Linked DNA regions of Bombyx mori. The protein of the gene in region 5 purifies or fractionates together with the protein of the main gene of each other region. This does not show direct contact. Links are inferred from orthologs where the notes say so. Each region holds a gene or a part of one and is shown on either strand. Other genes may lie near its edges.

Region 1 (6,668 bases), on a different chromosome or scaffold from region 5:
AAGATGAGCTATCATCATTCCTATATAGTGAATGTTTTGTAAATATTACCAGTATAAAACTCATCTTGATATGAGCATTCAAGCTCCATGCTGTGTCTCCTAATTATAGGTGGAGGGGTGCTTGGCGGGGAGAGCTGCTTCAGGTGACAAGGTTCCGACAGTGGAATAAAGTCAAATAAATCTCTTTGATAATTATCTGAAAAATATTAATTTTAACAGCAAAAGGATTTTATTGATTTATTTATTATACGCTTACCAAAGTCCATAAACAACAACAACTTAATGCCATCACCCACCTTGAGTTCTAAGGTCACTGTTATTATAGTGGCTGCCCCACTCTTTAAACTGAAACGCATTACTGTTTCACGGCAGAAATAATAGGGGTATTGGTACCTTCTCCCTTGCAGGTTAATGAAATGCCCAAATACCAGTAAGTCTATAGTGATGCAGGCATAGTAGTACTATACAACTAAGACGTCTTGAGGTGGGTGGTGACAATTAGATTGATGATTGTGGGCTCCAGTAACCACTTTACACCAAGACGACTGCAAGCTGATCCATCCATTTAAAGAAAAATACTTACAATTTTTATTTTTATTTTAGCTGATGTTCTCATAAGCAGCCTTGTGTATCATGCAGTGTTAGTTTGCTTAATCAACAAGCTAATGGTTCTTATTACTAAATTTTTCATTAACAAAATAATGCTAATTATAGAATCAAAATTATACCATAGTGCTTAGGTTTGGTGAACTCAATTTCTTCAAATGTACATCCTTTATCACCATCCTCATCAGTATATATGAGAGAACCCACATTCACAGCACGAGGGGTGAACACTTTACGTGATGGTGTGCTCTGAATTGCTTTCCCAGTATTTGATAGAAAAGATTTCTTGGTTTCCCCTTTTTTTGTTGGTTCATTTGGTTTTGTGGGGCCTGCTGAGACTACTTTGCCCATGTTTTCTGAAAATCACTTATTAATTGAAAAATTACTACATAACAATTGTTCATGAACATATTTTTTGCCATTTTTTCCATCAGAAATGTTTAAGGTGATGATTTGCGAAGGTTGCGCAGTTACGAAAATTGATGAGCATAGCCGACGACTGGCTTCAATGGTGTATATTGGGGGAGACCTACGTCTAGCAGTTTGGACAGTTCTAGGACTTTGGGCTGATGATGATTTCTAATTGTAACAATATGTCATTGTAGGCAAAACATTCGCATTGAAAAATGAAAATATAGTCTGATGGACATAGTTTGTAAGTGTACAGCTGCTGCTAGATACATTACGACGTGAACCGACTTAAAAGAAAAAGTAAGTTATATAATTAAAACATAATGCAATTCATTCAAGCTGCGGTTTCCTAATGAATAATGTGTGGTCTCATTTAGCTCAGATATATTATTTTTTAAGAGTGGTAAAACTTTTTAAAATAAATTATATTTACCTATATTATGCAGAGGTTGCCGGGAAACATTTTTCACGGCCTGTCTAGTAAGGTGATCTCCAAAAATATCAAACAGAGACATTGTGGCTAAATCGAAGGTTAATTTCGATAGACTGATTTTTTCTATATCGTCGTTATTTGCTATTGTTTAACGAATTTCAAACGGCTACTAAAGTTCAGTGTTCACTCATTTTCAAAACAACGACGAATCAACGGCAAAGAACATATGTCATAGATTATAAACTAATAGAATGACCAGCCCTTGGCGAATAATATATTAATAAAAATATGTAAAAACAATATGGTAAAATATATCACAGTACCGTATCATAAATAAAATGTAAAAAGCTAAGAGTATTATTCACCCGTTTTAAACTATATTGTACAGCAGAGTACAAGGGAAAGTGGAGCCTAGTCAAGCTAGTAGAGCTCTTTTGTGGAATTTTATTTGAGAAAGGGACCCTGAGAATTGAGCCCGAACTAATCCCATCTTACGTTCTTACAATATAATATAATACCTATGTGTACAAATCAAAATCACTGGAAATATTATGTACATTTTACACAGTAGCATTGCGCCAGCCATTTTCCAAAAGTCTTGGCTGTATAGCATGCGTTCCTTTTGTATGTCAGCTGCAGCTGATGTATGTTTGAAAACATTTTTATAGGTTAGACAAATAAAAGAGTTTCTAAATTTCAAACTAATATATTACTTTGAAAAAGAAATTGCAATGTCCGGTGATAAATCATCTAAACCGAATGGACTGGGTACAGATCCCATGCAGAGGCTCGCTTCATTAAAAGCACCCAGAGATCTTATGCTTGGAGGAGTCAAACCAAACAAAAAAGTCTTCACACCTAACTTGAACGTAGCTCGGAGTAAAAATAAAGGGTGAGTTACATTCAGAATGTAAGAATACATTACAGAGATGGTTATTTTTTGCAACCACCACAATATCGCCATCAATTCTGGACACATTGGGCACTCGTTAAGAACTTCGCTTTCGTGAGGCACTGACCGAGCAATGTACTCCGTTGACGGAATGTGAAACTGCGAAACCATTATGCCTTGGGTGGATTAGTTATTTCAGTTATCAGCCACAATAACAAAATGTTCTACAAAAGTTCACAGTGCACATACATGACTTACTTGCAATCTGAAACCGCTCTATATTCTAAAATAATAATAACCCTAAACCATGGCTGCTGACAACTAACCGTAGTCAAGTTTGTAATTTTTAATCTTTGACTTAAAAAATAAGAAACATTGATTTCAAATGAAATATAATACCTCTAAAAACCTAAAATGCCAAGCTCACGTCATCCCCTAGTTAAAAAAAATCTAGCATCATCGTAATAATCTTAAATACTGCAACATTATGTTTGTATGCAATCATCATCATAATCATTATTTCCTATTAGCCTCTGCTGGGGTGTAGGGCTTGAATCAAATTTTCCATTTATATCGGTCTTGAGCAGTCTGTTCTAGCTCCTCCCACGTCATGCCCAAGACACCTAGCTCCTGTTCCTGTTTGTATGCAAGTTATAAAAAATCACAAATGTGGCTTTTAATCCTTTTACTACAGGAGGCTGACACGCTTCTGAACTGTCAGCATCCCTGTAAATATATAAGGTTGATTGTTTTTATTTATATATTACAGAGCCAGGTAAATGGATACCAGTGTCTTTAGACCACTACCACCACTTTAGCACACCACGAATGCCATGATTAACGTTTAGATATGAGGTTGAAGCCTCAATTATATTGTGGAACAGCTGCCCCACCCTTCAAACCGGGATGGAAATAGTGCATTACCACCATTAGTATAAAATTAGAGTTATTAATATATTTTGATCTAGTGTAATGAAATTAATTCAAGTATAATTATAGACAAGCAACAACAAGTGCCAAAGAAACAAGGAATGAAGAGAAGAACAGCAGGGATTCAAACAGGAACCGGAATTTTAACAGGAATCAGAGAAATGGGCCAACACTAATAAAATCTGCTGGTGTCTTCTCTGAAGGTTAACATTTTAAATAAATAATTTATTTGTCTTCTATAATCATTAGCTACCCATCAAAATAACTGATAATTTATTACAATATTATATTAACAATAATATACAATATTTTTGTTGTTGCTAGTCATAGGCATAATTAAAATTTACAGTTTAATATCAGGTTATGACCACAAAACCTCCAATGTATTCCAAACATTGGAAATAAAGTATTTATTATGTTTAATAGAGTTATTGATGATAAGAAAGTAGAATTACATGTAAAAATAATAATATATATAGTCAGTTTATTTTGCCAATGATGTTTGTGCGGTAATCACTATTACATCTATCAGAATACATTTTTAAAACCAAACTGTTTTGTTGCAATTGAGATGATACATTGACGTTAGTTCCTATAGATTTCACCTTACACAATGAATGAATTCATTTTCATGCCATAATTAAAAGCTATTGTTAAAAGTGAAATGACCATGGCTTCATACAACCGTATCAATATGTTAGTTTAAATTGTTTGAATGATTCATCATTTGTTTTTATAAATCCACGAAACATTCTTCCAATCTCCCGTACAACTGAGTTCTGTGAATCATAGCTACTAAATTAATACAAAATCATTAATCAATCATTAAGTAATGATGTTGAATTCAATCAATGAATGACTCTATTTTTTTTAATGATAACATTACATTCAGAACTTCACAATTCAGACAGGAGTAAGCGTTTAAAAATAGCTGAGCTTTATTCAGTTTGATTACTCCTAAAAATTAAATGAATACTGAAAATTAAGCCAGTCAATAATTAAAAACTCAAAGTAATTGATTACAGGCATCGGTTCATCAGAGAGGCATTCTTCAAGTCGCTCGTACTACGGGCGGGACACAGAAAAAACTACAAACATTATGAAGAAGCCAGCTATCAGAGTAAAGGATTTCGTGAAGGTATTTACATTTAAATTACATTCATCGGTTAATTTTGTTGTAATTAAAATCGTGTAATAAAAATAAAAACCGCAAAATTGTAATTTGCGTAATTACTGGTGGTAGGACCTCTTGTGAGTACGCACGGGTAGGTACCACCACCCCGCCTATTCCTGCCGTGAAGCAGTAATGCATTTCCGTTAGAAAGGTGGGGTAGCCATTGTAACTATATTGAGACCTTAGAACTTATATCTCAAGGTGAGTGGCGCATTTGCGTTGTAGATGTCTATGGGCTCTAGTAACCACTTAATAGCAGGTGGGCTGTGTGCTCTTCCACACATTAAAGCAATAAAAAAAAGTGACCTAAATCCACTATCTATATCTTTCTAGATCGACAAAGAACTGGAGGAGAAGAAGATAAATATGATTTTAAGAGGAGGCGATACTGACGAGCTGGAGTCCATCGACTTTAAGGACATCCTCGACAGGGACGCACCCATCAAACTACCCATGGATGATGGGAGTGAGTTTCTAATCAACTTTCCTGTGTTCATCCAGTATTTTCTATGTAGCGTCGGCTTAGAGAAGCTCATCATCTCCACTCGTGGTTGTGGTGAGGTTGTAAGTGACGAACTGGAGTTAGCTGATAGCGTCCTGCCTACCTCGGTCGTGAAGCACAGGGGTTACACTGTACATTGAGGCTTTCATTTCAATTCTCGAGATTGGTACCGGTATCCGCACTCTGATCTATACCGTCCATAACGACTTCACAGATTAACAAATTCCTGAACATTGGAATGGTATTTTTATAGGATTTAGGATCTATCCAGCTACGGTCCCTTTAAATCAGCGGTCGGGGAATCGAGGTAAATTACCCGAAATGGGGTAATATGAAATTTTGTGGGGTAAAAATGAAACTTTTGTGAGTAAAAATTATATATATATATATTGAAGTGAAACTTCTTTAGAATCGTTGTGATTTCAAATTATCATGGGGTCTATAATATGAAAGATGCTAAAAGGAAGCGATTTCGTTTTTTTTTGTTCTTCGCCATGGGGTAATATCAACTTACACAAAAATATTTTGGGGTAGTAATTAAAAAAGTTCCCCGACCGCTGCTTTAAATTAATGGTTCCTCCTCCCTGAGTCGCATTCCTCATGTCTGAGGGTCGTGACCATCTCCTCCCATCATCCCTCTTTGGATGATGTTTCCGCATCTTCAATATTTACATAAATACATGTCTTTGACAGACTGGGCCAAGACTCATGCGAAACCGAAAGTCAAGGTTAAAGAAGAGATTGTTGTCAAGACAGAACCCCGGGAAGATGGCGACTGTGTTAGTAAGTAGTCTCAATATTAGAGTACCTTTTTTTATGAATGTGTGATTATTGGTGGTCAGGAGGCCTTTTTAGTTTTACCAGGACAATTCGGCGAGCAAAGGCTCAGTCAGGAGGGGTGGGATTTGCTAACAGCTGCCCGAGCACCTCCAAATGAGACCTAACAGCTCAAAAGCAACTGCTTCGTGAATGAATCTACTACCGGATCGGAATAGCGATCCGCTGAGAAGATCCGGCGAGAAACTCAACGCGCTGATGTATGAGTTAGGTTGCACGTTGAACTCTTTGTCGAGTTCGACGAGTACGGGTCCCTAAGCTTGCTCCTAGTGTTACAGCTGAAGGCGTCTAATGCAAGGGTTATTGAATCTGATGGATCCCTAAGGGCGTGCTTAGGGCAGCTTTTGGTTAGAGTCTCATACCCGATCCTGTGGACCGAATGGTAAACAGTCGACGTCGCCCTAAACACGTCATTACGGATCCTCCCGGTCCATTAACGGTTCTTTTAGGTCACCGCCCTCGTCGAACCCGTCGCTTGCGACGAAGAGCTCGACGAGTAAATTAACCCTCAGACACACAGCCCACTGAGTTTCACACCAGATCTTCTCAGTGGGTCGCGTTTTCGATTCGGTGGTAGATTTTGCGAAGCACTGCTATTGCTAGGGCCAGTGCTAGCATCACTCCCAGTTAGAGCCCCGTGAGCTCACCTACTCGCTCGGTTACGCTGACAGACTCTCAAGGCTATCAGCTTAGGTAGGAAATAAAAGTTAGAGTCTAGTCTAGTATTAGCGGGCTGTGTCTATGGATGCTATTTCCACTTTTTTTTTATTGGCAACACCAAAACACGGCTTTAGTTACTAATTAATAAAAAATAAAATCGGTATAGAGAATGCTATTTATCTTTTTTAGTTTTTCCTATATACTTAAGTATATAGATTATGTT
Region 2 (6,777 bases), on a different chromosome or scaffold from region 5:
ACGGTGACCGGTGCTTGAAGTACCTAAAAGCACCGTTAGTGGATCGGAAGGATCCAAATTACGTGTTTTGGGCGACGTCGACTGCTTTCCATTCTTTCCGCAGGATCGGGAATGTAGTTACCGGCGGCCACGATGAGAGGGTTCTCGTGTCGTGCCGCTTTGTCGAAGTGATCCGAACCGTTTTTTTTTTTTCCTGCCTAATCTGGTAGCCTGGAGCGGCTATTCCAGCGTAACCGTGGCTAGTAGGTGAGCTCACGGGGCTCAAACCTGACAACGATGATAACACGAACCCTAGCAAGAGCCGTGCTTCGCGGAATCTACCACCGGATCGGAAACGCGACCCACTGAGAAGATCCGGCGAGAAACTCAGTGGGCTGTGTCTGAGGGTTAATTTGCTCGTCGAGCCCTTCGTCGCAAGCGACGGGTTCGACGAGAACGGTGACCGGTGCTTGAAGTACCTAAAAGCACCGTTAGTGGATCGGAAGGATCCAAAATGACGTGTTTTGGGCGACGTCGACTGCTTTCCATTCTTTCCGCAGGATCGGGAATGTAGTTACCGGCGGCCACGATGAGAGGGTTCTCGTGTCGTGCCGCTTTGTCGAAGTGATCCGAACCGTTTTTTTTTTTCCTGCCTAATCTGGTAGCCTGGAGCGGCTATTCCAGCGTAACCGTGGCTAGTAGGTGAGCTCACGGGGCTCAAACCTGACAACGATGATAACACGAACCCTAGCAAGAGCCGTGCTTCGCGGAATCTACCACCGGATCGGAAACGCGACCCACTGAGAAGATCCGGCGAGAGTGGGCTGTGTTTGAGAGTTATGTCCGAACCGTTTTTTTTTTTTTTTTTATGATTGAGAGATTACTGGTGGCCCGAAGGCCTTTCCAGTTTCACCAGGACAGGTGGGCGAGCAAAGGCTCAGCCAGGAGGGGTGGGATTTGCTAACAGCTGCCCGAGCGCCTCCGAAGGAGACCTAACAACTCAAGAGCAATTGCTTCGCGAATGAATCTACTACCGGATCGGAATCGCGACCCGCTGAGAAGATCCGGTGAGAAGCTCAGCGGGCTGATGCATGGGCTAGGTTGCACGTCGACCTCTTTGTCGAGTTCGACGAGTACGGTTACTGGGGTCCCTAAGCCTGCTCCTAGTATTAGAGCTGAAGGCATCTAATGCAAAGGTTATTGGATCTGATGGATCCGTAAGGACGTGTCTAGGGCGTCGACGGTGACTGGCTCCTGCATGATCAGGATTCGGTGAGTAGTCAGCGGCGGCAACGATAAGGCGATTATCATGACGCATATCCTTATCGAAGTACCGTTCCGACGCTGACTTCATGTATTTCTGGATTGATTCAAGGCCCAGGTCGTCGTGTATTGTCCGAACCGTACCGAGAATTACCGAATTTATACGATGTCAAGAAAAGGGATGTCCAATATGCGTGTTTGAGGATGTTCTTTAATAAAAATAAAGTTTAACTTCTTACGCGCGTACATAAGTACACGCACCCTTTTTTTTTTGTTTATTTAGAGTTTCTTCAGGTTTAAGCGCCTTATTCACGATCCATCACGACTGTACGTCAGCTCAAGGCCGCAATTAATAATAATTATCGACGTACGTCAAGCCTATTCATGATCCTTTTGCATCGTGCATCGTGCATGGCCTTGGCGGGACGTACAGCAAGATGGATCGTGAATAAGGCGCTTTAAATAGGTAATCGGTGGTTTATTAACTGTCTATTATCTGTGAAAGTGCATAAATGTGGGAAAATGAAACAAAGCTGCTGAACGTAACTTCTCGGGATCCTCGAAAATCCACTGAAAAAGTCTCAGTAAATGACCACCGTTTTACTGAGATTATATTTCATCCCATATCACCTCATCTCATTTTATTTCGTTTTAATTTCATTTCATTTCATGCCATGTTTTATATTAATCGACTTTATTTCATTTCATAATATTATTTTTCATTTACCTAAAAAAACTTTTCATTAAAATTAAAATAAGACTTGACCTTGACTTGGTTTTAGTTACCAGGTCATAAAATCCCTTAAAAAAAGTATAGATGGATTTAAAAATTATTTATGGGCACGCTGTATGGGCTTAGATCCCCTTGCCTTTCTTAAAGGAAAAATTGTACCAAAAAAATATCTATGAGTTTAAAGTTTGTAATTAAATGTGCAGAATTGTGCTCGTGTTTGTTCGTTGTTAAAAATTGCACTTATTGTTTACATATGTACTCATCTGATTTGTTCCATTCTATAAAACAATTCCAAGATTCCATCGCTTGGTAAATACGGACAATATGATTTACTGCCGAAGATAGTTCAATATTACAATAGCTTATTTAATTTACATGATGGGCGAACTTAATAAAAAACAAAATGAGTGGGATACCAAAGGATTACGGGACCCTGTCAAAACCCTTGAGGTACTAGCTTTATTACTTTTCTGAATTACTACTATTGTTTTGATACACAATTGAAAAAAAAATACACGAACTATAATATTACTACTAACCAAACAACAAAATCATATAACTGTCTTTAAGATTTTGTTCATTCATTGATATTTAATCACTCCAAAGTTCAATTGTATAGTAACAAAAGTTGTAAGTGACAATATACAGTTGAGTTCAAAACCCTACCAAAGTATGATCATAATTATTTGAATAATAAAATGTATGAATTTTATAGAATAACATCATAAAAATCTTAGAAAAAAATAGTACAATTTACTGACGTCCTGATTTTATCTTAAATTTCTAATATTTCAGCTTAACACTGTTCATATGAATGTTTTCTTTCAGGATAAATGGAAATTAGTGCCTTCATTTCTTCAAGTTAAAGGTTTGGTGAAACAGCACATAGATTCATTTAATTACTTCATAAATGTGGAGATAAAGAAGATAGTACAGGCTAATGAAAAAGTATTTTGTGAATCTGATCCACTGTTCTATATTAAATATTTAAATGCCTATGTTGGTACACCTGACTTGGAAGAAGGGTTCAATATCACTAAGCCAACGACACCTCATGAATGTCGTCTTAGAGATATAACATACTCAGCTCCTATAACTGTTGATATAGAATATATTAGAGGAAACCAGAGGGTGATCAAAAATAAACAACTGATTGGAAGGTAACATCTTAAATAAATGAAGAAATGCATATTCTAATACTAGCAGATGTAATGTTGCTTGATCTATTACTATATCTTGATCTTACTCACTAAAAAGCAGAACATTCCAGGCTTTAAAAAATTCTGTATTATACATATCAAATGAATTTAACATTCTGTACTCCCAATTGAAAATATCCTATCTTAAAAACAATTCAATGAAAAGCTCGACAGAGAAATTATGTTTTATTGTTTGTCCACCCCACCCAATGTAACTCAGTTAAAAATTGATTGACTTATGGGCTGCAACTATTGATGATGTAGGAATTTAAGTAGTTCATCATCTGCCTTTTACCTATCTTCACGACACATGTCTGTCAAAGTATTAATAAAGTAGTCAAAGTAAAAACAGTTTTTGTGTCAATATCAAAGTAATAGTATCACAAATTTTTAACATGTTAATGATTCCTTTAATTACTTTAACATTAGGTCTTTGCTTATGAAGTTTAACAATACTGGCCATTTGAAATGTAATTAAATTATATACCTATTATTAACATCACTCTCATATATCATTTTGAAATCTGTATTTTGATTCTTTACAGAATGCCCCTCATGCTTAGGTCTTCAAACTGCGTTCTTACTAATAAATCGGATTTTGAGCTTGCACAGTTAAATGAGTGTCCCCATGATCCTGGAGGCTATTTTATTATAAGAGGTAAGAAACCAATTTAATTTTATACAACTAATATTAAAAAAAAACTCCAATGTATATAAATGTAAAATGTACATAAAATATTTAAATGTGTAATAATTGTAATCATAAAGTTAAATTTTATTAATTTGTTAATCTGGAGTAAAGTACATTGGGAGCCTTATATTTAGTCAGAATAAAAATAAACGAAAATTTAAATAAATATAATATAAAGAAATATAATAAATAAATATAAAGAAAAACTTTAAGTTAAAAATACATAGAATAAAAAATTTGGCAAGACTTAAAGCATAATAACCTAACATTGACCACATTAAGGTTGCATTTCACACTACATTTGGGTTTTTTTTTGTGGTCTAAATGAATGAAATACTGAGTTCTCTGTGAATATACAGTTATGAGCTAGGTTTCTAGACAAAATAATATGGTTTTAATGAAACACATTTATTAACAGTGCTCTAAAACAAAGTTAAAGACAATCAAATTCAAATTATCATTTTAACGATACTGTAAAAATAACTGCGTTTGAACGTTCAAAGAGATGATCTGATTGAGTAGCATAGCCAAAAAATATGCTAAAATTTATCTAAATTTCTAAAAAAAAAAGAAAACAGTTTTGGGATCCGAACACTATTGGTTTTGATTTCAAGAGTGACAATATTTTATTATTCGATCACTATTGCATACAGTTACATGGAGTGAATTCAGTTAGTTTTATATTGGCTTCATGTACGCTTTTTCATTTATGCAGCCCCTTTAATAGAAGTTCAATGGATGTATGGTTTTTAAAATGAAATGTATTTTTGTTTTTATTTTTCCCTGCACGAGTAGTACCTAGCCCCGTACCCGCTTGACCTTGAGTTTCAGGACACCTGTATAAGTACATATATATGTAGTTTACTTGAGTAATGAAAAACAATTTTTATTGTCTGTAGGTCAAGAAAAGGTGATTTTAATTCAAGAGCAACTCTCTAGAAATCGAATGATTGTTGATGAATTCAAAGGAGCAGTACAATGTCAGGTTACAAGTTCCACACATGAGAAGAAAACTAGAACGAATGTGATTCTTAAACATGGAAAATATGTGCTCAGACATAATGCATTGTCTGATGTATGTTACTACTTAAATCAATTTCATTTAACAAACAATAATCAAAGCTATATATGTATTTTTTACTGGTGGTAGGACCTCTTGTGAGTCCGCACGGGTAGGTACCACCACCCTGCCTATTTCTGCCGTGAAGCAGTAATGCGTTTCGGTTTGAAGGGTTGGGCAGCCGTTGTGACTATACTGAGATCTTAGAACTATATCTCAAGGTGTGTGGAGCATTTACCTTGTAGATGTCTATGGGCTCCAGTAACCACTTAACACCAGGTGGGCTGTGAGCTCGTCCACACATCTAAGCAATAAAAAATAAAAATAAAACCATAATATGTTTTGAATTGGACTTCTTCCCTTCAAAATTACAAAAGCTATTTCAAAAGCTAAAATAAATAATTTCCAATTATGTAGTTTCCACTAATTTGTATTTTTTTATATTCAGGATATTCCAATAGCTGTCGCCTTTAAAGCCATGGGCATATGTAGTGATCAAGAAATAATGCAGCTTGTAGGTACTGACGATAATACAATAAAAAAAATGGCACCTTGTATTCTAGATTGCCATAATTTGAAAATATTTACTCAAAATCAAGCTCTGACTTATATAGGAAGTAAACTAAAAGTAAAAAGGTAAGGTTTCATTTTACATCTAATTTATCACTGTTTAGTGCATATATAAATAAAAATATTTTACTACCCCGCTGTTTCTGTAAGCTTTTTTTGTAATCAAATTACTTAATAGTTACTAATTGTTTTAAATGTTCGCGACTAATAATATATTGAACGCGTTCATAATTTAATTTCGTTAAAAATCTATGCTAAATTGTGATAAAGTACGCTCTTTGTGCTGAGGAGATAGAGAAAATATGTCCAAGGAAAGTAGTCCAGTATATGACAAATTGGGCCTGGAAAAAGATATCTATATAGAACGCGGGAGAAGTTGAAATAAATCCAATTCAGCAGTGAAAGTGTACTTACAGTCTTCCATCCCTTGCGAGCATTCATATAAAAATACCGTTTGATAGATCTAATATGCTTATAGTTAAAAAATAAACGTACATTTAAACCTTAACCATTGCCATTACATATATTTAAATGCTTCCACATTTTCCATACAGTACCTATTAAAATCTATTTTTGTTTTAAATGTAAAGGTATCAAGGTGGAAACACAAAAGTACGCTCACCAATTGATGACGCTCGTGAACTATTAGCTACGACTATATTAGCTCACGTATCGGTTGAGAATTACAATTTCTACGTAAAGGCCATTTACCTTGCGATAATGGTGAAAAGGGTAATTGAAGCCGAAACAAATAAAACTGCAATAGACGATCCAGATTACTATGGGAACAAAAGGCTTGAATTGGCGGGGTCTTTATTGGCACTTATGTTTGAAGATTTATTCAAAAGATTCAACTGGGAATTGAAGAGTATAGCCGATAAAATAATACCTAAAGTTAAAGCTGCCCCCTTTGATGTTGTGAAGCATATGAGACCGGATTTGATTGCTAATGGACTGTTTACAGCCATCTCTAGTGTTAGTACAGTTTATCGATTTCTTATGGGCATTAATTACTCATTATACCATGCTAATAAGATATAATATTTTAGGGCAATTGGACAATTAAGCGCTTTAAAATGGAAAGGCACGGGGTCACACAAGTATTAAGTCGCCTCAGTTATATATCAGCACTTGGTATGATGACAAGAGTAAATTCCCAATTCGAGAAGACCAGAAAAGTGTCTGGACCACGGTCATTACAGGCCTCACAGTGGGGTATGCTGTGTCCTTCCGACACTCCTGAAGGAGAAGCATGCGGTCTTGTTAAGAATTTAGCACTTAT
Region 3 (5,440 bases), about 300 kb from region 5:
AATGACTTTAAGTGAGTATATATAAACTATAAGGAACACATCTTGAAGTAACTTCGTCAAAGGTAGCTTAAAAAAGTTTATTATCTTATCTTATACCATCTCCTTGAGACTAAAAAGTCTGATGGTATAAGATAACAAGGATGCGATGCAGTGTGAAATATCTAGTTCCAATTTAAGAGCTTAAGAATTCTTTTTTTTTCTTCAAGTTTGTAGGTCTAAATAAAATATTTATATTTACTAAATTCACGCTCGTAATTATAACTATCTTTACCTATATATAATTCTACTGTACGTGTGTATGTCACTGAACTCCGCCTGGACCGATTTGAATGAATTTCTATTCGTTTGGGTGGCGCCCTGGATGGTTTAGATTCACAAATCAACCCCGCAGATGGCGCTGCAGTCGGTATCTAGGTTATTTCTCTTTCCTAAAAACCCAAAAATTTAATGGCAAAACAACCTTTGCTGGGTCAACTAATATTTCATATATGTGTACCTATTATATATTTATAGTTAAAAAAATAGAACACTGATAGCCATGCAGATCTATTATTCTTACCAAAGTAAAATAGGGGTAGTGACGCAAGAAACGTTTGGAGAGAAAGTAATCCCTACTGTCGAAACGGGTTCCGATTTTTAAAGATAATGCTATAATTTATAATTATAATATAAATTCTCGTCATCGCGAGATACATGAATCTGCTCGTCTATATATTGGCGCGTCTAACGTAGCCGACTGAAGAAACATTTAGATACCTACGCTTCTATTTTAGACACTATCCATAACTTTACAAAATAAGTTAAAAATATTGGAAAACAGCGTTCTCTGAGTGTTAAACAACCGTATTGCGATTGGTAATTGATATAAATTGGTTTATATTGACGTAATGTACAATCGCATTCTGAGTGTTTCTATCGCGTAGCTGTCCTGCATTCTAGTTTGAAGTGTGGACCAGCAGTACCAAAATGGGCCCTTAGACCTTTTGTCACCGACCGGGTGGTGATATTCACGTTGTGATGTCTTTGGGCTCAGGTAACTACTTAACGCTAAATTGACTGTAAGCACACACTCGTAGCGAATTGGATAATACCCTCTAAATCGGGCAAGATTTTTACCGCAGATAAATCGGTCTGTGTACAAATTTAACCATAATCCTATTGCAGTTACAGAGTATTGACTCAATCAATGGTAATAGAAGAATCTAAGATTGGTGGAAGAAATGTACAACTACAAAAAATTGTTTGGACTATGTACAAAGAATGAAAATTGAAACAGTATTAATAAATTGTATTTAACAACATATAAGAAAAATAAACTAATTTCTTTTCTCTATACTCATTTCGCTTTGGCAATCACTCGGCACCCGATCAGTAAAAAGTTCTGGTATCTATTCAACAAAAGAAAGTTACATGTTAATACATGAAAACTACAAGTGTCTATCGAAAATATATACATAAGAGTTTATTCCATACTTGTGGTGTATACGCTTCAACTCTATCCAGCAAAGAATCTGTGTAGCCGGGAGTATAATATCTGAAAATGAAAAATGTATAAAAGCCCACAGTTGAGATTTGAGTAGGACAAATTTTCTTTTAGTAGGTAGTCTTTTACCTTACTATTTCTTCAGGGAAGCAACTGTTTATGATATTAATATACTCCTTCAGGGACGTTCCGGGCACTGTTTCAATTTCTTGTATTCTTTTCAATGCTCCTGTTGTAACAAAAAGCCTTCTAGCTCTTGCATCGTTGGGTAGAATCTGAAAAAATAAAACGAACATAAATAATCTACTTCCTTATACTTTCATTATAATTTGTATAATAATTTCTGAACTGAACAGTTTTTCAGAAATTATGAAACTCCATGAAATTTAAATGGTACTTGCAAAAGACCCTAATAAGAAAAACATACACATTTCTTGGATTTAGCCTGCAAGAGAATGATTCGCACGTATATTTTGTTCTAATAAATGATGAACCTCATTACGAATTACTACGGTAATTGGTTCACGTTCTTCAAATGATGAAGGCAATATACATAGGCTTATTTCATGTCATCTCTAGTTTATTCTTATTTCACGCCATAGTCAATTTCAAATTATCAATAATTCTCATACTGCTGCATTTTACGTTTTGAAAAATAAATAAAGCCACGATTTTTTTTAACGTTGGCTGTATGAGCTACGTCTCTATTACCTGATTTATGAAAGAATTAAACGAAAAAACATCCGATTCAAAACAATAACAAATGAGTAGGGTACGTAGATACCATAGATTATACACTTAATATATTTGAGATAGGTAGATACCATCTGGAGTTTCAAATTTAAATAGATTAACTATCACCAAATTGTTTTCTGATCAAAAAATCGATTACAGTTACAATGGCAGGTAGAGGACGAGGACGCGGGGGTAGCGGTTTATCATTAACTACTGAGCAAATACAAGCCTTAGGTGTGACACGCGGCGACAATGCTCCTCCAACACTTGTGCCGCCACCACTGTTTCCAAAACTTGAGAAAAAACCACTACCTCTTATATGTGATGCCGCCACTGACTATATGCTCATTGTCAAAGATCAGTTCATTGAATATCTACACGAATCACCGGCATTTGTTAAAGTCAAAACAGAGACTGACGGTGTAGAGCGATATTCTGATAAGTACAAAATGTTAGCACTTGATGCGAAGCAGAATAAGTTATTGGATTGCGTGTGGGTTAACATGCCTACCGAATTACGGCCTCAAGCAAAACGTCCGCGTACTGTTCCGAGGAAAAGAAAACTCGATGATCCCGAAGAGATAGCAAAGAGATTACAAACGCTTGAAAAAAAAGAGACTCTGGAAACAGATGAGGCGATAGACGGCAAAAAAAAAGAATTAAACAACGAAAACGTAGATGAAGAAGAGGAGCTGGAAGATGAACATGAGCAAGAATACGAACTAGATGATGGTACTGACTATGCAAATAACTATTTTGATAACGGGGAAGATTATGAAGAAGAAGATGATAATTTGGATGATGGACCTGTTTACTAGGAAATATATATATACAAATTTATATTACACAGTTGAAACTGATTGATCTTGCATATTAAAAATAATTACAATTAACTGTTAATCAAATAGTTTTCACTTTTAATTTTTACTTTCAAATATTCTTTATTAGCAATTTGAAAAACAGTCCCGCCTGGTAGAACTCTTTAAAAAATAGAAATAAATGAATATTTCAGCGAAAGAAGTTTACTACTTAAGTAACTGCTACATCATATTTAAACGAATCAATCGTTAATCAATCGAAAAATCAATCATTACTGATTACTGGAGCACTGTTTCATTTGAAATAGTGTATTATTGTTATATTTGCCTAACTAGAATAATTACCTTTGCATACTGAGCTAGTACATATTTCAATATACAAGCAGGTGCAGAATGTAACAATGTCTCTAATGCAGGTCTATGTAGACAGCATTGTAATGCCTGTTTCAATGCACATGATGTCCGAGCTTGTACTTCTCCTGAAGACTTTGGGTTTGTGTAAAGCTGTAAAATTAAACTAACGATGTTTAATTTAAATATAATTTAAATATACTTTAAATATTGACATCTATCTACGTATATAAATGAAAAGATTATAAATGTGCTATTTGCACATGTATCAGACAAGTATTAAAGACTGATGACAATAATATAGTAATTTTATTACTTTGGCTTAATATTGTGATCAGAATTAGTACATCGAATAAAAAAAAAACGTTATGTCAATTTTAATTCTGCTTGCTGTTAATTTTTAAACCACAAATACTTTTACATCTAAACTAATCTAAAGTAAGAATGAGGTCAACCTAACTTGTAACAGTCTAGGTAGAGCATTGGCCACAGCAACAGCCAGACTGTGTTGTGGTGAGTGTTTTGCGATGTGGCCTAATGTCCAAGTAGCTGCACACAACTCTGCATCTTCTGCATCTTTCTTTTGTAGAATTTCAACAAGTGGTGTAATGGCCTAAAATTGATAGATACATTTTTTTTATTTATAAAACCAGAAAAGGCAACACAACAGGTCACAATTTGTGATGATTGATAACTTAAATAGTGTAGTGAAAAAACTTAATAAGATTATTTATTTCATATTTTTTTTTAAATTCAATGTTTCATAAATTGACTAATAGTCTCAGTATTACCAGTTTTCACTCATAAATATATATAATAAGTTATGTTTATGGCATCGACATAGGTATAAGCCGTGACGGATTTAGGCTTGATGGCGCCCTAGGCCCTGTTTATCGCGCCGCCCTCAATGTTTGAATAAATTTTATTAATTTTGATTCAATATTTTCATTTTAAATTTAAATTATCTTTATTTCCTTAAAATATAATTTTTGAATATCATCATCATCATCAGCCTTTATCTGCCCACTGCTAGACATAGGCCTTCTCCAATGCCTTCCACAGCATGCGGTTCTCCGCCTTCCGCATCCAATGACTTCCCGCTGTGCGCACTAAGTCGTCGGTCCACCTGGTTGGAGGACGCCCCACGCTCCTGGTACCCATCCGTGGCCTCCATTCGAGGACTTTCCTCCCCCACCTGGCGTCGTTGGTTCAACAGACGTGACCGGTGACCGGAGACGTGAAATTAAGTTTAAAAGGTATAATATATATAAAAGGTATAATATAAATATTAATATTTTATTGAGTTGTGTCAAACACAAATGTAAACTTTATTCACCTTCGATTCTATAACTGCCATTGCGAGCTGATCTGATTGCCCTGCAATAAATCCTAGTGCCATACAAGCTGGGACTCTTGATCCACCCGTACTCTCTTTTAATAGTTCGACCAAAGGACCACATCCACCAGTGTTCACTACTAGCTGAGCCAACTAAATAAATTGCAAATATTTCATAGTTAGGTATTAGTAAGATTATGGATTATTTCTTTCTGTTTTGATTTTATAACAAATAACTGACTAATCGAACGTAATGCTATGTTTTTTTTACCCAATTATTTAACAAATAACAAGTTTAGTAAATAGGAATTAAAGTAAAATAGTTTGCTTTCGAATCTCTTCTTTCCGTGAATAACATTTGTGATCACTTCATACGCGCTGATCATGTTGCTCTTAAACATTATTTCGTTCACAACAGTATCATGCGCTGCTCGGAACCTACCTTAGAAGCTATTTACACTAAAACTCTACCGATATCAATTCATCGCAAAAAAAACCTGATAAATTACTAATATAACTTAATCGTCGAATTCACGTGGGATCGGTATTAACACTGCATTACGATTACCTAGCAATAAATTTATATAAAACCACTAGCTGAACCGGCAAGGCAGACTTCGTAGTTCCTCAATCGACAAATAAAACACCTAAACTTTTGCATAAAATAAACTTAAAACAAACAAAAGGAATCCGTCCGACGTCCGATTTTCATGTTTA
Region 4 (6,185 bases), on a different chromosome or scaffold from region 5:
ATCTTTTATTAAAACACCTGTAAATACCACAGTTTATACACATTGTACTGCAACTCCATAATTTTTGCCTTTACATATACATCAAAATGTAGGTAAACCAATATTTCAACAAAATTTTGATAATATTTCAAGGTTGAAAGTTGAAATATCAAAAATCTCATTGGATTTATTTTCCTTTTAGTGTATGACGTTATGCGTAAACGAATTCAGCACAGAAATCCGCTAATTCCAGTTAATGAGCTTGTCCGAAATAGGTATGAAGTCTATTCAGTGACAATTTACTGGTACCACCACCCCGCCTATTTCTGCCGTGAAGCAGTAATGCGTTTCGGTTTGAAGGGTGGAGCAGCCGTTGTAACTATACTGGGTCTATACTGAGACCTTAGAACGGATATTTCAAGGAGGGTGGCGCATTTACCTTGAAGATGTTTATGGGCTCCAGTAACCACTTAACACCAGATAGGCTATGAGCTCGTCCATCCAACTAAGCAATAAAAAAAACATGAGAGTTGGCTGAGTAATATACTGTATATTTTGTTGTGGCAAACAAAACAAAAGATATAGATATGACCAATAAATCTAAATTTAGTAGTTCACAGTAAATCGTAAATCATTAGACTTAGATTTTCTTAGTACATATCTAATGTAACTAAAATAACTCTCATTTTTATTAGGTTTCATTTTATAATATTTTATATGTATATATTTTAAATTTTTACATTTTTTCTAAAAATAAATTTTTTATTAATCAAATTATATCTAATAGACCATCAAACACGAAATATTCAGTGCTCTTTTTAGTTGTTTCTTCCAATAAATTAAGTTCAAATACATGTTTTAGCAATTACGCCACAAACCATGTACGGATCACAGTTGCCTGCAGGTCTTCGATCTTCAAAGTATCCTTTGCCTTCTGATATAACTTTTTTCTGAATTCGTATCGACGCACTTCTATCAGAAATGCCTACACGACACGAATCATATGATGATGTTTCAAATTTTCCTACCAACCTCTTCTTGTTATCTTCACCATCTTTTAAATCATAGCTTTTAATGATTTTTTCATGTTGATCGCATAAAATTTTGCAAATCCTTTTTATTTCTGTGACACCTTGATCGGCACGCATTTTCTTTGTACTAAAATTATGATGACATCCTATGCCAGCATGTCCATCTCCCATTGGCTTAGGATGAAAGCTAATTATAACGTCGAAATGCTCTGCTATTCGATTTAGAAGATACCGACCTATCCAGATATCGTCAGCTGCCTTTATTCCTAATGTAGGTCCTACTTGAAATTCCCACGATCCATTCATTACTTCTGCATTGGATCCGTCGTAATCCATGCCAGAATAGATACAAGCTCTGGCATGACACTCAGCAATTTCTCTCCCGGCTACATGTTCACCTACACCACAGTAAGAATTCTTAGAATCTTGGTCTGGATACCCTCGTGGCTTTGGCCATCCCAAAGGCCAATGATCACGATCGAACATTGTGTATTCTTGTTCTATACCAAACCATGGTTCTTGGTCACAAATTTTACTCAAGGTTATAGCTGATGATACTCTGTGGTTTGTGGGGGTCGGTAAACCTTCACTAGAATATGTTTCACACAAAACTATTATATGCGGACTCTTACGAAAAGGATCTCTGTACACTGCAACGGGAAGTAGTGTAATATCTGAATCCTTCAGATCTGACTGTCCAGTTGAACTCCCGTCATACGACCATTTCGGCACCATTTCTAAATCACAAGGCTCCTTATCCAATATTCGGTCTTTAGACCGTAAATTTATCCCACTAGCATCAATCCATACATAGGTGGCAAAAATTTTATTTTTCGGAAACGGTAAATTTAAAAAGTAATTGTAGTACGCATCATGCGATCCTGGATGCCCAAAGATACTGCTAGTACTTAAATAATAAACATGTTTCATATTTTTATACACTAAATTCTTTGATAGGAAAATACTTCTAAAAACTTTAGCACATGTTTTAAAGCAGTACATTGTTTAAAATTTTTGAATTAACTTTTAACTAAAAACGGTTTTTAAATTACCTTATAGATTTAAAAACTCGATGGACGCGGAAGTCTTTTAAAATTATTTATATATTTGTAAGAACCTATTTTCAAACGATTTCTCTGGCTGGATTTGTCTCTGTAGGCTGGTACTGGTAATATCCGAATGCGTACCGTATTTTCCATCTTATCTATATCTGGCGGTGTCTTTGACGCTCTTAGCATTTTGTAAGCCCGTTGATCGTTATGAGTTAGTGGGGAATCCAGAAAGACGATAATAGGCCTTTTTATACCAACTCGAGCTGGCGCTGAGAGGCTTCGTCGTCGTGACGGTGACGACCGTTGGATTGTCATCCTATTTGCTAACGTGATAAATAGAAAACAATTCAACTCTAAGAGTTTCTTCCGCGCCTGCCTTGATAAATTTCTGTCACATTCGAGTCTAGAACTCGGTTTGTTGAACGACAGGTTGTTTTAGTCGGTTCGGCTCTAAGGTGTATATTGCGCCCAAGACGTAGGTTAGAGTCTGATAATTTTCTCCAAAAAGACTCCTTAACCTAACCCTAGCTGACACTACATTATAATTCCGCTTGAGAAGCAGTTTCGCGTCAAGAACAAGGTTTTGGCCTAAATTTACAAAAGCTTAAGCGATATGAGCTGAGGTCTCTTTGTCTAGTTGTTTAAGCTAGGTATTGGGATACTTGGGGTCGATATTTCGAGCAATGTCCAATTTTGGAGTAATTTCGGAAAGCCAGGTTTGCGTCAAAAATGTTGGGAGTCTCAACAGAGCGAAGCGGTACTTCACGCCTGGACAAATACTTGTTTTTTACAAACACAGGTCCGGCCTCGCGCGGACTACTGCTCCCACCTCTGCGTCGGGGCTCCCAAATACCAGCTACTTCCATTTGACTCCATACAGAAGAGAGCTGTCCGGATTGTCGATAATCTCATTCTCACGGATCGTTTGGAACCTCTGGGTCTGCGGAGGGACTTCGGTTACCTCTGTATTCTGTACCGTATGTTCCATAGGGAGTGCTCTGAAGAAATGTTCAAGATGATAACATCATCTCGTTTTTACCATCGTACCGATCGCCACCGGAGTAGAGTTCATCCATACTATTTGTGCGTTTCCAGGGGTCTTTTTTGCCATGTACCATCCGGCTATGGAATGAGCTCCCCTCCACGGTATTTCCGGACCGCTATGAAATATCCTTCTTCAAACCAGCCTTGTGAAGAGTAAGCGTTAGGCAGCAGCTTGCCTCTGCTCCTGGCATTGCTGAAGTCCATGGGTGTCAGTAATCACTCACCATCAAGTGGGACGTATGCTCGTCTCCCTACAAGGGCAATAAAAAAAGTATGTTTGACATAATGTCTACGGCTTAATACTAGCTGTCAAAAACATGTGTGTGGAGTTCATTTGTAAGTGTATGTTAGGTTATATATAATCTTACTCTATGGTGTATGTATTGATAAAGACTGAAGAGTTTATTTATACCGAATTTGAAACAACCCTAATTTTTAACAACAATGGCTCAAAAATACTATTTTTACCCAGTACAGTAATAATTAATAATATAATAACATATTATTAAAATCGAAGACGTAAGACTTAATTAAGCAATATAAACAATATCTAAAAAGTACAAATCTAACCCTATTAAACAAGTGTAAAGTAATTTAAGGTTTTAGCATGTATAAATATAATATACGCTAATTTTCGCCAAGAGAGTATTACGAAAGAGTGTATCCAATCTTTAGCAATATTAGTCTTAATAAGTTAAATGTGGAATATTTTCAATAATAGGGCCTTCGTGGATATATTTCAAAATCAAGCCAAAAGCCAGTGATACATTAGAGAAGTCAAACACCAAGTGATATGTGTTGAATTTGAACATGGAAACGTAAGACTTTTTTAGATAATTTTTTCTTTAGTAAAACTTTAAAGTTGGTATTTCGTTTAAGCAGTTTTTTTTTAATTCTTCTCATAATCTCAGACACAAGAATACCTAGTTTTGTTTTATATGATTATTTAACACTGAATAAGATAGAAGTGGAAACTTCTTTCTTCATATTCTGATCAATATTTGCTATCACTGAAACTGATTTAATTAAGCATTATATAAAAGTAGACAATATTGTTTAGATTTTCATTTAAGGCTAAAGTGGCTTATAGAACTAAGAATACCATGTGGATTAATAGCTGCCATATTTTGAGATAGACACTTTGTACAAGTCTCAGGTCTTCGGGTGGGTACCACCACCCTGCCTATTTCTACCGTGAAGCAGTAATGCGTTTCGGTTTGAAGGGTGGGGCAGCCGTTGTAACTATACTTAAGACCTTAGAACTTATATCTCAAGGTGGGTGGCGCATTTACGTTGTGGATGTGTATGGGCTCCAGTAACCACTCAACACCAGGCGGTGGGCTGTGAGCTCGTCCACCCATCTAAGCAATAAAAAAAAAGTCTCGAACTTTTTATTATTAACCTTTTGTTATTAACATACTTCATGTTACATTACAGTATAAAAGCCAATTCCGCATTTCTGTGTAATTATGAAGTTATGCAAATTCTCCAAAAGTTAAAAGATAACACACATAAAAAGCATAAGAGAGAAGCTTCACTTGCCACTGTTACATATGAGGTGAGGTTATCCAATAATTATTATATTCTTGCTTATATAACAAGCTAATTCAATGTAAAAAACGGTAGGCAGCGGCTTGGCTCTGCCCCTGGCATTGCTGAAGTCCATGGGCGACGGTAACCACTCACCATCAGGTGGGCCGTATGCTCGTCTGCCTGCAAGGGCAATAAAAAAAATATGTCATTCTGGTCTAAAGGATATAGTGCCCCTGATGTACTATTATTAAAATTGAACGATACAACTATGCAAATCAAACCCCACGGGCAAGTTGCAATTTATCCAAAGAAATTCATACTCAAGTCACTTTCACATTCGTAAATTCCAGGATGAAGGAAGAGCATTGTGTAATAAAAAACATACCTAAAAATAAAATGTTATAATTTGTATTTACATTAAGTAAATTGTACTTTTTTTTAACCCATAGACAAGTAAATTGTACTTACAATATGTTTGTACTTACATAGGATTGATTTCTTTAGATATATCATGAGAGAGCTTTAAAGATTCCCTGTATTTTGCATTGGTCAAGTGGTAATAAACGTTAAATTTTATTCGCAGTCTAAAACCATGATGTTGCATGCTGTGTGCTCTACACTCATACAATGGAATATTAATTGCACATTTACAATCATATTCGTCAAACATTTAGATTATTTTTCTTTCTTTTTCCAGACTGTACATTACTTACAAGACACAGAATGCAAAAATCAGAGTGCCCAAAAAATTCAGAAGTTCCTAGAAGCTATGAAAAAATACAAGCTCACTAAAGTTGAGAAATTAATGATGGTAAACACTCCGCCCAGGACTGAATTGGAAATACAATTGGTATGTACATTGTTTGTTTTCTTCTTCTATCTACATTTTTAAAGACATTACTGTTTCACAGACAACATGGAACTTTGGGAACTTCTAATGATGAACATACTTCTAAAAGTTTTTTTTTTATTCTTCTATTGATAATGTGAAAAATCAAGGACAGGCTCACAATTCACTTGTTGTTAAAGAGTTACTCGAGCACGGAAACTTATACTATAGTGAATAAAGTGCTACTAAGAGTGCTGAAAGGAATTAGGATGAATTTGTGGGTGCTATTACTATGGGGCATCACATACTTTGTGAGTGTCCCCTATCTTTAAATTATATAGCAGGAATAATGTGATCAGTGTTTGGATGAGGAGTAGAGGACCAGAGAATGACATAAAATATTCCAATGGTTGAAACGCCATTGCAATTCATTTCCATGCCCTTAATTGAAGATAAATAAGATCTACTATTGATAGTAGAATTGTGAAGTAGTAATAATATGAGAAAACTGCACATTACATATTGCATGATACTAACTCATCCTCAAACTGATAGATGGTTTCTACTACAGTGCCAATTGTCATTGCTCGATATTGCCACAATTTGACAATAGATCACTCTTTCAGCTACAATCTAGTTTTCAGTACAGTAGCAACTTTATCAGTAACTCCTGTAGGACACAACAAACATCTTTACTTTACAATGAGTGAGAACATT
Region 5 (6,651 bases):
TATGGGATGAATTTCATCTCAGTAAAATGGTGGTACATAATTTACTGAGATTTTTTCAGTCGACTTTTTGGAGGATTCTGAGAAGTTACGTCCAGCGGCTTTAATTCATTTTCCCACATTTGTGCATTTTCACAGATATTAAACAGTTAATAAACCACCGTCATTACACATTTAACGAAACACTAAATAAACAAAATAAAACAAATCACACAATTGCACTCCTCGTGGTCCCGCCAAAGGGTCTTCTTTCTCTCATGGAGTTAATAGGTACTAACCATAGATTATACTTATTATTTGATAGGTACTAACTCTATGCTTTCTCTACAGAATCAGCCTCAAATTTTATTATTAAGTGTATTACGGCTGTCCAATTTCAAAACCTAGTATCTGACAAATTTAAAAAAAAGTGTGTTTTTGCATTTTTCGACCTTGTAGACCATTCTCCACATATTAGGATAGCAAAAACCCCCAAAAATTTGTAAAAAACGAAGTTACACAAAGTCGGAAACCTAGTATCTACAGTAAAGGTTTTCAAAATGCAAAAATTACAAGATTAGAACATAGTATATAACATCAACCATTTTAAAAACCTAATAAGTGCTTGTAGTTACTTGGATTTAAAATGGTTCATGCAGATACTAAGGCAATGAAATGGTTGAAATAAACGTCAAAACTCCCGCGAAACTTTAGTAAGTGAGAAAATCGTTGCACGTTGTTCGTGTTTTTGTCTATAAAATGAGTAAAAATCAGTTTTATAGGTCGAAATTGATCTTGAATGCTTTAAAAGAACAACATGGTGAAATGTAAGTACGCTTCAGTGTGTTTTATTATTGTCAAGGTTTTTTGTTTTCCAAAATTGCAACCTACTACGACACATAAAGTAAATGAAGGTGCAAATATTCCAGAGGATGTTAAAACTGCATACGGGGATCACAAAGCTAGAGCAAGTAAAGCAATACAAAAGTATCAAGAAGATGCCTCCCTAGAAAATACTTCCTCTGTGAGATACTATTCGATGGATTTACAAAAAGTTATGTTGTTACCCGACATGCCTAAAGTCAAAGAATCGTTTTTCTTGAGTAGAATGATAACTTTCAACTTGACATTTGCACCAATCAGAAAGAAAACGAATGTTAATAATATTTGTATTCTATGGCATGAAGCCTGTTCTGGACGAGATGCTCATGACATTGTTAATGCAATTGCAGCAATGATCGAAAAAGAAAGAGATTTTAATCATTTGATATTGTGGTGTGATAATTGCAGAGCTCAAAATAAAAATTGGATCCTCTTTACATCACTTGTTACTATAATAATCTCTGGGTTTTTCAATTTAAAAAGTTGGACTTTGTAATACCTACCTAACTAAAGATCACACAAGCATGTCGCTGATGGAGTTCATGGCAATATGGAGAGGCAGATTAAAAACAAAAGATGCTGTGTACGATTTTGAAGACTATAAGAATGTAATTTTGGGTTGCAAATCGCATATTGAAGTTATCGAATTCGAAAAATCGTATGAGTGGGTAAAAAAGAAACGCATACCGCGACGCAATGATGACCTTGTTCCCATTAATAATTTTTTGCTTAGTTCTTTGGTTGAAATAATATTTGTAAATGGGTGCCGTAATATGTTTTGAATGATTTTTAATCTCCGTATTCCGAGTTGAATTCTCTTATTAAAAACACAATCTCTTGATCATGCCAACCTTAAAAAATATTCCAAGAGGCATTAACGAAAGTAATAAGGAAGGCATAGTAACAACTTTATTTAGCTTAAAGAAGTTTTGGAGAAGAAGTCTTGGCAAAGTGTACCGATTAATAATAATCCAGTTAATTTAGTTTCTAGTGGACAAATATTAATAACCGAATAATTTATTTTTATTTGACTGTTTTCAAATATTTTGAGTGATTATTTTTTGATTTTTTACTGTGAACAAATAGTGTTTGGTTTCCGATTATGTGTTTTTTTTTTCTTTTTCATTAAAACTGCTTATTTCTGCCCATATTTATGTTGTTTTATTCTGTTTTTTCTTACTATGTTTAAAAAATTGCATTTAGTTCCTACTCAGTAAATTCAGACCTAAATGAAAACAAAGCAAGTGATCTTACTAAGTCTATTAATTTGCGTTTATCCCCACTCATTATATTTTAGAATTAGATGAAAACAAAGCAAGTGATCTTACTAGGTTTTGAAATTGTCACACTCAAAAAGTTTGATCTAAGAAAACAATCTTTTTATTAGTAACTGCTCCTCTACGCACATCTTTTGTGATAGACGCATGAAATCTACTTTTTTATAAAGCCTGTTATGCACCTCAAATTTTGCAATCACTCTCAAGAAGGTACGACTAATATTATTGAAACGGCACGCTGTCAAAGATATGAAATTGTTTTTCGGCTCTCCTGTAAAATTTAGTTTTATGCAGATACTGGGTTTTGATATTTCACAGCCGATTAGTATCGACGCTTGAAAGGCAAACGTGACTAGGTGACAATGCAATGACAATGCGTGAACTTTACAGTAGACTAAAGTTAAAGTTGGAATACCTGAAAAAAATCTATTTTAACGAATCTAGCTGTAGTAGAATCTAGCTAGTAGCTGTAGGATTGAAATGATTTTAATAGACCTAGAAATATATAGTTTTTGCGCCTCGAATATGGTTATTGCCTATCATTTATGTACAAAGCAGTTATTGTCGCTTAGTCACGTTTGCCTTTCAAGCGTCGATATGGAATGAAACATTGGAAGGTGGACTTAAAAAACTCGTACCCATGCCTTCAATTCTTAAAAAAAAAAGCAAAATAGTAAACAGAGCAGACCATAAAATCTTCAAAAACCGAAGTTTTAAATAGAATTTAATAGTAACATATTTATCAAATAAACCAATGTTTGTATTAGCTGAAATGAAAGATGTTATTCGAGTTAATCCAGAATACTTTCGTCAAAGTCTAACTGATTCTATAACAACTTTACTCAACAGAAAGTTAGCTAATAAGGTTCATAAATCATAACTATCCAAATTAATTTAACCGAATTAGTTTATCTAATTGTATTTATTATTAGTTGTATATTGTATAATATATATGTTATTAAATATGTATTTTCAGGTTGTGTTAGAAGTAGGTTTATGTATTGTACTGTTTGACATAACCAATGTTGGACACTCGTACATATTCCCTGGAGACGGTTCATCTCACACAGAGGTGAAATTTAGATATATCGTGTTTCGACCTATTATTGAAGAGATACTTATAGGAAAAATAAGGAGCTGCAGTAGAGAAGGCGTGCACGGTAATTTATCAGTCATAAAATTACATGTATACTCAATAATGAGACCCAAATGTAAATAAATCATGATTATAATTACTATTTAAAATTTTCAGTGACATTAGGCTTTTTCGATGATATATTAATACCAGTAAATGCTCTTCAGCATCCGTCTAGATTTGACGAAACCGATCAAGCATGGGTATGGGAATATCCTAAGGAAGATGGAGAAAAACATGATTTGTTCATGGACTCGGGTGTGTATTATCAAACTCCAATTAATTAATATACATTTAATAATTTTTAATAAATAAGTTAAAATTTTAAATATATGTTAATATCTATTAAAGTACACTTGCTGAGTGAAACACAATGTGTTGGTGTCGTAGTCTGGTCCCAGCATTAGCATTGCTACCTTTGTATTGTTTAGAAATGCCACAGATGGGTTTTCTATAATAAAGATTCCCGCAGGCAGGTGCCAATGCTTCTAATGAAATACGTACTTAACAAATGTTCACGAATGACGTCCACAATGATGGAATAATATTGGGTGATAAAAACCAAACTTGCAAAATTATAATTTGTATAATTAGGTAGTAGGACATCTTATGAGTCCACATGGGTGGACTCCACCACCAGCTGCCTATTTCTGTGTCAACCAGTAGTGTTTGGTTTTAAGGATGGAGCATGTGTTGCACTGTAAAAACGGAGACCATAGAACTTATGTCCCAGGGTGGGTGGCTGCATTTAAATTTTAGATGTCTATGTGCTTCAGTAACTACTTAATGCCAGGTGGGCCATGTGATTGTCCACTCATTTAAGCAAAATAAAATATGCCAAAACACAGGTTAGCACTGTTGACTAACAAAACTTAATAAAATGGGTATTTGTTTAGAAGACAATGCCAATAATAAAAGCACCTAAAAAACTACATTGGTGGATTGACACAATCTAGATGTAAATTATAATAACTACACAAATATTATGCCTTATCATCACTACAAAGATTCTTTTTACTGTTAACATTGAAAATCTGTACTTTTAATAATAAAACAAATTACAGGTGAATCAATAAGATTTCGAGTGACAAGTGAGTTTTTTGAAGAGAGCTTACCAACAGGTCCTCCAGGAACAGATTGTACAGTACAAACGGTAGCACCTTATAGACTGATTGGAGGAATAAATGAACCAGGACTTGGACTTTTAACCTGGTGGGAGACACCAGATCAAGAGGGTGAAGAGGATGAAATAGATGATGAATAAAATATTCAGCTTCTATTGTTATTTTTTTATTTGTACTATGTTTGGGGAAACGGTTTGTTAAACTTCTCTGAATGTCTCCAAAGGAAGCTAATCATAAAAGGCACATGGCAAGTCCATCTATCAGGAGATTGAAATTGTGAGCTACTGAGAATATACAGGGAAACTAAGAGGGTTTAGTTGCTGATTAAATTATTTTTTTAGTTTCGATGGGTGGACACACTCATAGCCCTAGTATTAAGTGGTTACTGGAGCCCATAGACATCTACAACGTAAATGTGCCACCCACCTTGAAATATAAGTTCTAAGTCCCCAGTATAGTTACAACAGCTGCCCCTCCCTTCAAACCGAAATACATTACTGCTTTACGGAAGAAATAGGCTGGGTGGTGGTACCTACACGTGCGGACTCACAAAGGCCCTGCCACCAGTAATTACGCAAATTATAATTTTGCGTGTAATATACTAAAGATGGGTTCAAATTCAAGTGACGTCTATAGGTTCTGGTAACCCCTAAAGATTGGAATGAGCCATCTGGAACTAATCATAAGAGTCAGTTGATAATAACTGTATGTAGACTTCCACTTTATTCAAGGAGGACGTTGATTATTGTCTGCTTAAGATTCGCTATTAATTCAAGAATTATAACCTCATTAAAACGTTAAAGTAAATTAAAAAGTAAAATATAATTTGCAACAATATTTATTTAACATGATTATATAATAATACATAGTGATTATATTCCATTATTTTATTATAATTTTAAAATAATAAGTAAATGCCAATCTTAACTTAAGAATTCGGCGTTATAAGTAGATACTATGCCATAGTAACCTTGTCGAAAAAAAACCTAAAATCACAGTGTTTTGACCTGGGTCTAAATCCTTTAATGCACCAAATTACAAAAAGTTATGGGTCAGGCATATGTAACCAACTAATGATACTTTTTGATGAGATCACTCAGTTCAAAAAGGAATAAAATAAAATCTAGAATAGTTAAAATTACTTTTACACTATCACTTTCTACAATATTAAAATCACCTTGCAAAATAAATAACAATGTGTTACAAAAAAAACCGGTTTGATCCTTTTCTGCTAGCTATACAGGGTATAGGTACTGTATACACTTAAGCATTATGTAAGTTAAGCTTGTGCAGTTTTGCCTGTACATGGGATTTTTTTGAATATTAGTGGAATTGTATGAAAATTTGCTATATTTGTCAGAATATGCTTGTGTAGATAAAATGTACTGGTAAAACTAAGTGTTTGTCACCAGCACTGGTCTTAAGTTTCTAGTGATTAGTAATAAATAATAATAGTACTATATAAGTCATTATTGAGCGCATCCAATACTGCTACGGTGGCATTATTTAGCTGAGAACTTTGACGGACAGTTGGTAAAAGTCTTTCTACGAAAGGATAATAATAATTAGCATTGTAAATTGGATTTCGTCACGTTTAAGATGACGGATTGGCCTGCGCTTTTTAATTTCAAATTTGTTAAATTCTACACGCAATTCTACCTTTTTTTCTGACTTGACTTTTAATAGTTCTACAAAGATTTCACAGATGTTAAAGTCACAGCTCATTAGAGCCACCCGGTACTCACTCCGCGGGCCTAATGGCGGGTGGACCATTCGGCGACAACTCGCTGCTATGCCTAAGTATGCCTAAGTATGCGACTTGCCTTACGATGACTGCGCATTGTCAATGCTGGCCACAAAAAATTCACACGAGAACGACACCAATAGTTAAACTGACTATAACTGGAAAATTCGTTGAACAAGCGACGCCCAGTCGTTAACCACATGGCGGCCACACGTGGACCACTTATCGACCACGTTTGGACGCCGCGCGACGAGGCGGTGGGGAGTGGGTGCCGGGTGACTCTAATGAGCTGCGACCTTTAATGGGCAAGATTTAATTATACTCGATACTACCACTTTCATTTTCACTGCCAATAAATTTTCTGACAGTAGTAGGGGTATTTCCAATATTATCCTATATATCTTACTGTTACATAATTAACAGTTTATATTTTACTACAATATATACGGAAAGATAGTTCTACATACATAATCTTATAAATCGCCTAAGATGATATGAGTGTCTACTGCCAAT

What was found.
Region 1: the proteins of DNA-directed RNA polymerase III subunit RPC8 (region 5) and DNA-directed RNA polymerase III subunit RPC4 purify together in Homo sapiens (affinity purification with mass spectrometry; 6 studies listed by BioGRID and IntAct, counting the BioPlex papers as one, with this or other methods). This does not show direct contact. The link is inferred for Bombyx mori from reciprocal best matches to the Homo sapiens genes POLR3H and POLR3D.
Region 2: the proteins of DNA-directed RNA polymerase III subunit RPC8 (region 5) and DNA-directed RNA polymerase III subunit RPC2 purify together in Homo sapiens (affinity purification with mass spectrometry; 8 studies listed by BioGRID and IntAct, with this or other methods). This does not show direct contact. The link is inferred for Bombyx mori from reciprocal best matches to the Homo sapiens genes POLR3H and POLR3B.
Region 3: the proteins of DNA-directed RNA polymerase III subunit RPC8 (region 5) and DNA-directed RNA polymerase III subunit RPC7-like purify together in Homo sapiens (co-immunoprecipitation; 4 studies listed by BioGRID and IntAct, counting the BioPlex papers as one, with this or other methods). This does not show direct contact. The link is inferred for Bombyx mori from reciprocal best matches to the Homo sapiens genes POLR3H and POLR3GL.
Region 4: the proteins of DNA-directed RNA polymerase III subunit RPC8 (region 5) and calcitonin gene-related peptide-receptor component protein purify together in Homo sapiens (affinity purification with mass spectrometry; 4 studies listed by BioGRID and IntAct, with this or other methods). This does not show direct contact. The link is inferred for Bombyx mori from reciprocal best matches to the Homo sapiens genes POLR3H and CRCP.

What each region holds. Positions count from the first base shown.
Region 1 is NC_085113.1:12,562,660-12,569,327, forward strand, and holds the start of DNA-directed RNA polymerase III subunit RPC4, read left to right. Parts: upstream 1-2,068; 5' UTR 2,069-2,181; coding exon 2,182-2,342; intron 2,343-3,341; coding exon 3,342-3,475; intron 3,476-4,297; coding exon 4,298-4,410; intron 4,411-4,779; coding exon 4,780-4,912; intron 4,913-5,641; coding exon 5,642-5,731; intron 5,732-6,668. Other genes in the region: uncharacterized protein LOC101743779, read right to left, coding at 50-196, 729-962, 1,451-1,532. UniProt on the Homo sapiens protein: DNA-dependent RNA polymerase catalyzes the transcription of DNA into RNA using the four ribonucleoside triphosphates as substrates.
Region 2 is NC_085116.1:7,719,420-7,726,196, forward strand, and holds the start of DNA-directed RNA polymerase III subunit RPC2, read left to right. Parts: upstream 1-2,123; 5' UTR 2,124-2,350; coding exon 2,351-2,425; intron 2,426-2,803; coding exon 2,804-3,135; intron 3,136-3,719; coding exon 3,720-3,832; intron 3,833-4,764; coding exon 4,765-4,940; intron 4,941-5,373; coding exon 5,374-5,561; intron 5,562-6,085; coding exon 6,086-6,470; intron 6,471-6,544; coding exon 6,545-6,777. UniProt on the Homo sapiens protein: Catalytic core component of RNA polymerase III (Pol III), a DNA-dependent RNA polymerase which synthesizes small non-coding RNAs using the four ribonucleoside triphosphates as substrates.
Region 3 is NC_085117.1:13,528,025-13,533,464, forward strand, and holds DNA-directed RNA polymerase III subunit RPC7-like, read left to right. Parts: upstream 1-2,101; 5' UTR 2,102-2,255; exon of another isoform or gene 2,256-2,377; 5' UTR 2,378-2,382; coding exon 2,383-3,036; 3' UTR 3,037-3,123; downstream 3,124-5,440. Other genes in the region: uncharacterized protein LOC105842656, read left to right, coding at 1-11, 1,165-1,264; sperm-associated antigen 6, read right to left, coding at 1,317-1,388, 1,474-1,534, 1,613-1,758, 3,382-3,540, 3,848-4,000, 4,724-4,876. UniProt on the Homo sapiens protein: DNA-dependent RNA polymerase catalyzes the transcription of DNA into RNA using the four ribonucleoside triphosphates as substrates. Specific peripheric component of RNA polymerase III which synthesizes small RNAs, such as 5S rRNA and tRNAs.
Region 4 is NC_085116.1:3,000,085-3,006,269, reverse strand, and holds part of calcitonin gene-related peptide-receptor component protein, read left to right. Parts: intron 1-31; exon of another isoform or gene 32-824; coding exon of another isoform or gene 825-2,012; exon of another isoform or gene 2,013-2,073; intron 2,074-3,491; 5' UTR 3,492-3,698; intron 3,699-3,797; 5' UTR 3,798-3,916; coding exon 3,917-3,924; intron 3,925-4,543; coding exon 4,544-4,664; intron 4,665-5,336; coding exon 5,337-5,489; intron 5,490-6,185. Other genes in the region: glutamine synthetase 1, mitochondrial, read right to left, coding at 825-2,012. UniProt on the Homo sapiens protein: DNA-dependent RNA polymerase catalyzes the transcription of DNA into RNA using the four ribonucleoside triphosphates as substrates.
Region 5 is NC_085117.1:13,230,685-13,237,335, reverse strand, and holds DNA-directed RNA polymerase III subunit RPC8, read left to right. Parts: upstream 1-2,465; 5' UTR 2,466-2,889; coding exon 2,890-3,000; intron 3,001-3,111; coding exon 3,112-3,295; intron 3,296-3,387; coding exon 3,388-3,528; intron 3,529-4,334; coding exon 4,335-4,534; 3' UTR 4,535-4,549; downstream 4,550-6,651.